Linked DNA regions of Bombyx mori. The protein of the gene in region 2 interacts with the protein of the main gene of each other region in a pairwise test. Links are inferred from orthologs where the notes say so. Each region holds a gene or a part of one and is shown on either strand. Other genes may lie near its edges. The genes, in order: cleavage stimulation factor subunit 2 tau variant and protein suppressor of forked.

What was found.
Region 1: the proteins of protein suppressor of forked (region 2) and cleavage stimulation factor subunit 2 tau variant interact in a two-hybrid assay, tested with the Drosophila melanogaster proteins (2 studies listed by BioGRID). The link is inferred for Bombyx mori from reciprocal best matches to the Drosophila melanogaster genes su(f) and CstF64.

What each region holds. Positions count from the first base shown.
Region 1 is NC_085112.1:5,026,336-5,030,130, reverse strand, and holds part of cleavage stimulation factor subunit 2 tau variant, read right to left. Parts: intron 3,514-3,795; coding exon 3,460-3,513; intron 1,682-3,459; coding exon 1,525-1,681; intron 1-1,524.
Region 2 is NC_085129.1:20,030,211-20,034,568, reverse strand, and holds the start of protein suppressor of forked, read right to left. Parts: upstream 3,082-4,358; 5' UTR 2,859-3,081; coding exon 2,829-2,858; exon of another isoform or gene 2,770-2,828; intron 1,277-2,769; coding exon 1,085-1,276; intron 553-1,084; coding exon 520-552; intron 1-519. Other genes in the region: U6 snRNA-associated Sm-like protein LSm2, read left to right, coding at 3,760-4,047. UniProt on the Drosophila melanogaster protein: Essential protein, may play a role in mRNA production or stability.

The DNA.
Region 1 (3,795 bases), on a different chromosome or scaffold from region 2:
TTCAAACTAGAAATAAAAAAGACAATAATGCAATATATTAGATGAATTTTAAACTTTAGATGTCAATAATTAAGGTCGAAATTCGATCAAGGAACGAATACCAGTACATATAACGAAATGGAGAATATTTTCCGGTCGCGTCAATTTAGCAGCTTCTTGACGGATTACACCCTGTATATAAAATAATAATGATAAAATATATAAACAAATATAGTTTATCAGGAGTCAGGGGTCAACATTACAACAATAACTACCATTCTCAAAGGTGCATATTACATTCGCATTTTGCCTTATTAAAAACATCTATTACACGGGTATTGATGTTATTGTTTCTGAACATTCTGCGTTCATAATGCGTTATGAAATCGTTCTTTTTAGAGTGACAAAATAATTTTGATTTGATTTTTTGCGGTTTTCAAGAAACATTTTAGAACTTAAAAAAAAACTGAAGGCATAGACTAGACGGCCGTATTATTTAAAGATTGTAAACTCATGAACTCATTTCTCACTCATTTAAAAAAAAAGTAATACCTACCTATTTATTTTGATCATTTACACAAATTAAAGAGCATTTTACATAGTAGTTTAAAAAGTTAGTATGGTAATTTTATTTATTTTAGATTTGAATTTATCTATGAATACACACGATTTTATAAATAACTTTTTCATATTCATGAATAATATTTCATAAAAATAAATAATTTATATAACCGCAAAACGTCAATAAACGCCAATCGATCCCTAAGAAACTGGACAAGGCTAATAACATCAAAGCCAGTTTGAAACAATAATATGTTTCATTCTACCTCACATATTAACAACATATTAGGCAGATGATTTTTTTATGGAACTCACTCTTCCGTCGTCTCCACAAAGAGGATCAAACTTGAAGAAAAATAATTCGATGCATTAGGTAGGTTAAAAGAATTTCCTGTTACTTATCGAAATTAATTTACGATATACCCGCTATTATACAAACGAAAATACCAATAATAATAGTGGTGAGGTGCCATTTTTACTTAATGTTTTTTTGCTTTGTAGTCAAATACAAGACTTCACTTGACCTTAGAAAAAATTTACATATTTAAAATTCATAGAATGTTTTCGTCGCTTCGAAATCATTTTGAAATTTGTTTTATTCATACAGCTATTTTTCATTTGATAAAAACCTATTTTTATCGTGAAAGAAGTTTTTTTCTTCTTTTATTCTTGAATTGCGAAAATTTTACATTTAATACCGAACGTACATAGTTAAGCAAGTACGAGAGAGGACCTAATGATGCAGACAAAGATATAATTTACTAAGTATCAACACTGATTAGGTCTCGCCCATAAATTGCTTCCCGGGCTAAACCGGACATCTTATCCTTTAGACCACGACGATTTTTAGCAAAATTTCAGCTGTCGTTTCAAACGTTTTTTCTTTTCCTACCTTTTTCCTACCTAAGCTGATAGCCTTGAGAGGCTATTTCAGCGTAACCTTAACTAGTAGGTGAGCTCAGAAGTCGTCCAATAAATACGTACGGATCTTGGGGATGATGCATCGGCGGCGGTACCGGGTGCGGGGCGACCGGCGGCAGACTGCGCATGTCCTGGTCGAGCAGCGCGGGCATGGCGTTAGGGGGCGCCGCGGGACCGGGAGCTCGCGACCCGCGAAGATCAACATCCATGGACGGACGGGCTGTTGGAGATTCAATTTAACGATGATTCAATGAAATAGGCTATTATACTGAGACCTCAGAACTCATATCTCAAGGTGGGTGGCGCGATTTACGTCATTACTGGTGGTAGGGCCTCTTGTGAGTCCGCACGGGTAGGTACCACCACCCTGCCTATTTATGCCGTGAAGCAGTAATGCGTTTCGGTTTGAAGGGTGGGGCAGCCGTTGTAACTATACTGAGACCTCAGAACTCATATCTCAAGGTAGGTGGCGCGATTTACGTCATTACTGGTGGTAGGGCCTCTTGTGAGTCCGCACGGGTAGGTACCACCACCCTGCCTATTTATGCCGTGAAGCAGTAATGCGTTTCGGTTTGAAAGGTCGGGCAGCCGTTGTAACTATACTGAGACCTCAGAACTCATATCTCAAGGTAGGTGGCGCGATTTACGTCATTACTGGTGGTAGGGCCTCTTGTGAGTCCGCACGGGTAGGTACCACCACCCTGCCTATTTATGCCGTGAAGCAGTAATGCGTTTCGGCTTGAAGGGTGGGGCAGCCGTTGTAACTATACTGAGACCTCAGAACTCATATCTCAAGGTAGGTGGCGCGATTTACGTCATTACTGGTGGTAGGGCCTCTTGTGAGTCCGCACGGGTAGGTACCACCACCCTGCCTATTTATGCCGTGAAGCAGTAATGCGTTTCGGTTTGAAGGGTGGGGCAGCCGTTGTAACTATACTGAGACCTCAGAACTCATATCTCAAGGTAGGTGGCGCGATTTACGTCATTACTGGTGGTAGGGCCTCTTGTGAGTCCGCACGGGTAGGTACCACCACCCTGCCTATTTATGCCGTGAAGCAGTAATGCGTTTCGGTTTGAAAGGTCGGGCAGCCGTTGTAACTATACTGAAACTCAGACTACTACAAACTACAACTTAGAACTCATATCTCAAGGTGGGTGGCGGCATTTACGTTGTAGATGTCTATGGGCTCCGGTAAACACTTAACACCAAGATGCGTCTTATATTACATGGAGTTGGCGAATGCTAAACATAGCGATACATTGCAGACTTGCAATTGAAGACATGAGTGGATGAAGGGAGTAAGTATCATTTTTAAGATTTAATGAAGGTGTTATGTGCCTATAAATCATATTAAAACTCCAGGTTTAAAAGCTTCTTTTTAGAAATTGCATGTGATGAAGGAGTTATGTACAAAAAAAAGTACAAGTAACAAAAGTTTGTTACCCTTTTTCTCAAAATTAACAAATTGTATCATATCCCCTTCATCCATTCATGTCTTCAATTACTTTGCGCTAATCTTTGATGACTCTCATTATATTGATGGTTTAGATGTTTTTTTTTATTTTTTCCTACCTCAGCTGATAGTCTTAAGGTGAGCTCACGGTGCTCGAACCTGGCGAAGTTGCAAACACTGGCCCTAGCAAGAGCAGTGCTTCGCAGAATCTACCACCGGATCGGAAACGCGATCCACTGAGAAGATCCGGCGAGAAACTCAGTAGGTTGTGTCTGTGGGTTCGTTTACTCGCCGAACCCTTCGTTGCAAGCGACGGGTTCGACGAGAACGATGACCGGTGCTTGAGATACCTAAAAGCACTGTTAGTGGATCTGGAGGATCCGTAATGACGTGAATTTATTTTTAATTGGCTAAGAAATGTATGAACATGGTGTGCAAGTCATAAATTAGTTGGTAATTAACATTGGAGATTAAGTCATTCAAACTATTAATAACAATCTACATAATAATATATATGTACGTACATATATAAATTAGTACTTACAATTGTTGTACTGGTTGGGTGGCGGTCCGGGATTATTGTGTATCGGTGGTTGTGCTAGATTTGTAAACAAATATAATCCTATATTATTTTATTTTGATTGACACAAAATTTTGTAGTTTCGGGTTAGTTGTCTTTTCAAAAATAGAATTATCCCACATGTATTCTTACTTTTTCTTGTACTTAAGCAATTTATTTTTATATAAAAACTTAGTCAAGCTTACTTACTTATTCAAACAGCTAGCTAATACCAAAACTTTGATTAGAGTTAATACTTGTTAGATAAATATTTACTTTACATTTTATACTAATATTATGTTAATTACATAGATTATTTTA
Region 2 (4,358 bases):
AAAATTATTATTATTATCCAGTTTGGTTGTATTTTTTTTAACAATGGCATTTTGAAATTAAGCCTTTGCAGGGATGTAGAACCTGGGTTCTCGTTTCAAAACGAATTAATTAATTCTAAGATTACTATTAAATATTAAAATGGGGTTATTTTACATGTCAAAAGTGACCTTCGAAGGCGAAATCGGTTTATTTCATATAGGGTAATTTTTTTTTTTATTTGCTCTCTTTTCCCCTTTCGCCATGGAAAGTCTCCTCCGTCATGTCTGAACACATAGACACCCTAACCGAAAAAAAAGATTATTTTCAATTCAGCAATTACACAGCTTTATTTCATTTAACACAACTAATTGTTTTTTATATAAAACTATCATAGACATTCTTTTGGAAATATCGTCTAGGTATGCCACGCACCAGCATACTGTAATTAAAATATAGTATTTGTCTATTTCTATTTTTGCCTATAGTTAATATCACAGATAGCTTTGTTTTTTTTAAACTTACTCTCTTTGTATACTGACCTTTTCGACTCTTTCAAAATTTCTCGCTTTCATCTGAAATTATTATAATATTAAATTATTGTTTAAATTAATTAATAACTACATTACATTAATCTTATCTCCTATCCTATCTTATCATAATCTTATCCTACATACTAAAATCTAAATTTTACAAGAAAGATTTAAATGAATCTTCATTTATTACGTGAAGTTTACTTAGAGAATATTATACAGTGAAACTAGTGGTCTCACAATATGGACATTGTCTTGAGGCAATGATAACCAGTTACCAGCCTCCATTATTCATTTGGACATATCATAAGGACACAGCATGAACTGCCCACTGCAGTTTGAAGGATTGCTCTTAAAAGGTTTGAATGGTGGGGCAGCAGTTGTAACTATACTTGAGAGCTTAGAACTTATATCTCACGGTGGGAGGCGCATTTACGTCGTAGATGTCTATGAGCTCCAGTAACCACTTAATACCAGGTGGGCTGGGAGCTCGTCCACCTATATAACAAAAAAAAAAAAATATACTCTTAAAAACCATGTCTAAGGAGGTACATTTAATGTTGCTTATAATTACCTCCTGTTCGATATATATTTTCCAGTAACGTCCTGTGGTCGGGAATGCCGTTATCAACTTCTCGTACATGGTTCGGACATCGTTGATGTTTCGGGCCTGGGCTTCTCTTACTAGCAATGACCAAGAGTCCACATCGTATATGTTGGCTTCGACTGCACGCTGGGCGCGGGATAGGCGTTCATTACCCCAATCCTAGCGAAAAACATGAAGAGAGACAAATATTAATTTGTTAAATAAAAAACAATACCTAATTTTATGGTAATTTTGCTAAACAATTCTTAAATTACACAATATATAATTTAGACGACTCATTTACATTGATTTTATGGGCTCTGGCAAAGTTTTGTAACAGTATTAATTGCAATCAATACAATATGTTCAATCACCATTCTATGTAATAAATAGATAGATGCATCAGCAAAACCCTTAATGTCTACATCTCAATCTATACAAATATGTACACACAATTTGAAGGGACTGGTCTAGGAAGATAACATAGATATAACTTATATCCTAGAACAATTATTGTAGTTTGTAAACTGCTTATTATTACTTCAAAATTAGTGGCAACATGACTGGAATTATTACTAAAAATTTCCAAAGAGATTGAAATCATTAATTTACCAGTAGGGTGTTTGATAAGTCCACATGGCTAAGTGTCAACACCAGTTTTTTCTGTGTTTTGATGTAATTAACAAAAAACTTGAAAAGTTAGACATTTCCGATTACTCTGTTTTCAATAACATTAAAATTTCTCTGAATTGTCTACTTATTTTCCTATCCTTTATTTATATATCCTTTACTCTATTTCATTTATAACTGCAGATGAGCGATTGGGCTCACAGTCTGCATGTGGTATTAAATATTTACTAGAGCCCATAATGAAATAAAAATCACTACAATACAATATAATACAATATATGTTTCATGAGATCAAGCTGTTGTACTTTTTATACATACATACAAACTTTTTATAAATAGTCTTAATTACATCTAAGAAGTTTACAGTTATAAAGTGTAATGAAGCTTCAGTGGGGTATCTAACTCATTATAATTTTTTTTTTATTGCTTAGGTGGGTGGACGAGCTCACAGTCCACCTGGTGTTAAGTTATTACTGGAGCCCATAGATATCTACAACGTTAATGCGCCACCCACTTTGAGACATAAGTTCTTAGGTCTCAAGTATAGTTACAGCGGCTGCCCCACCTTTCAAACCGAAACGCATTACTGCTTCACGGCAGAAATAAGCAGGGTGGTGGTAGCTACCCGCGCGGACTCTCAAGAGGTCCTACCACCAGTAAGAGGCTAAACAGCTAATTGGCGTTTTTAAAATATGGATTAGAGTAATTATATAGGATCTAGGTACTACAATTTGGTTTTTTCTTGAGAAATTGTAATGATCTTAGCAGACAGCTGGTTCCAGTGTAATCGCTTGTAATGTTGGTTTAGTGGTTGATTATTAGTTTACGTTACTACAGGTCGAAGTCAATGTTACTTAATGGCTTCCGGTTTTGGAGCGCAGTCACAACTCTCTCGTGTTTTCGGTATCTATAAAACTAAGGATCCTCTTTTTTTTTTCTAAATGACTATCTTGTTTAGAACTACACAACAATCGATTGCTAATACATGCACTTATATAAACGAATTACACAACATTCAGGAATATCAAATCAAAAAAGAAAACCTTTGTTCTTTTAGTTTTTAATTATATTCAATTAATGCGACTAATGCGTAAAAACTCACAATGTCGGCGATTTCATCTACAGATGCCATTTTGAAGTTTACGTTTGAGGTTATCTATCTGGTTTTAAGTCCGAGCAACAGTTTTTCGAAGAACTAAGTAAATGAGGTACTGATTGTTTGTGGACACATTACTCTCAGTGTTAAAATCGATTTAAAACAATAAAAAAACACAATTTTCTTTAAAAAATTAAACAACTCAACCAAGCTCAAACGGGATTAGCGGACGCTATAGATTATACATTTCGCTTTAAGGAATTTTATGACCTGGTAATTAAGATCTTTAAGTCATGTCTTATTTTAATTAATATTCTTATTTTTATGAAAAATGTTACAATTATGTAGTGAAATGACATGAAATGAAGATGATTAATTTTAGATATTAATCAACTGCGATGAAATTAAATTAAATTAGATGAGATGAGATGATATGAGATGACATATTCTCAGTAAAATGGTGGTCATTGACTGAGATTTTTTCAGTGGACTTTTTGGAGGATCTCGAGAAGCTATGTCCAGCGGCTTTATTTCATTTACCCACATTTGTACACTTTCACAGATATTAAACAGTCAATAAACCACCATTATCACATTAAATTAGATTACATTATTACATTTAAGCCTGAAGAAACACTAAATAGACAAAATAAAATAAATCACACAGCTTCACTCCTTACGTTCCCGCCAAAAAGTCCCGATTTGTTTTAAAAATTTAAGCACAGGTAACGAAAACGTAGTAAATGCAAGACATTGGAAATGAGATGGTGCTCCTGCACAAAACTAACAAAATTACGGAAAATACCGATTCACACCGCTACAAAAAGCTATTGGCATTGACATTTTATGATTTTGACTTTGAGTTTTAAATGACATTAATTGAAGAACCCAAGCCAAATTACTGTTTCAGCGCGTTTTCAAACAAACAAAACGAAAAATGTTGTTTTACTCGTTTTTCAAATCGTTAGTCGGTAAGGATGTAGTCGTCGAGCTGAAAAATGACCTCAGCATATGTGGGACGTTGCATTCTGTGGATCAATATCTCAATATAAAGCTTTCGGATATAAGCGTGATTGACTCTGAAAAGTATCCTCATATGTTATCAGTGAAAAATTGTTTTATAAGAGGCTCCGTGGTTCGATACGTACAACTGCCGGCTGATGAGGTAGACACCCAGCTTCTCCAGGATGCCGCTAGAAAGGAGGCGACCGTTTCAACAAGATAGAACTTAACCTAACCTACAACTTCAATTTAAAGTGTACATATTAATATAAGCTTAAGTTTCTTAATAAATCATTCTTATAATATAGTGTTTTAGTAGCGGTCTCCGGATATTCATTTCAGAAAAGAAAGTTTCCTTTGATCGAAAAATAACCTAGTTCTTCAGTTTTATGTAAGTTTTATACCAGAGTATGAAAGAATAATTTATCAATAAAAAACATCTATATTTTTACCATTCTCAAAAATGTATCACAGAAAAAAGTTTTTATTACCTTTCACATCAAACTATACTGATAATTATTAGACATAGCTGCA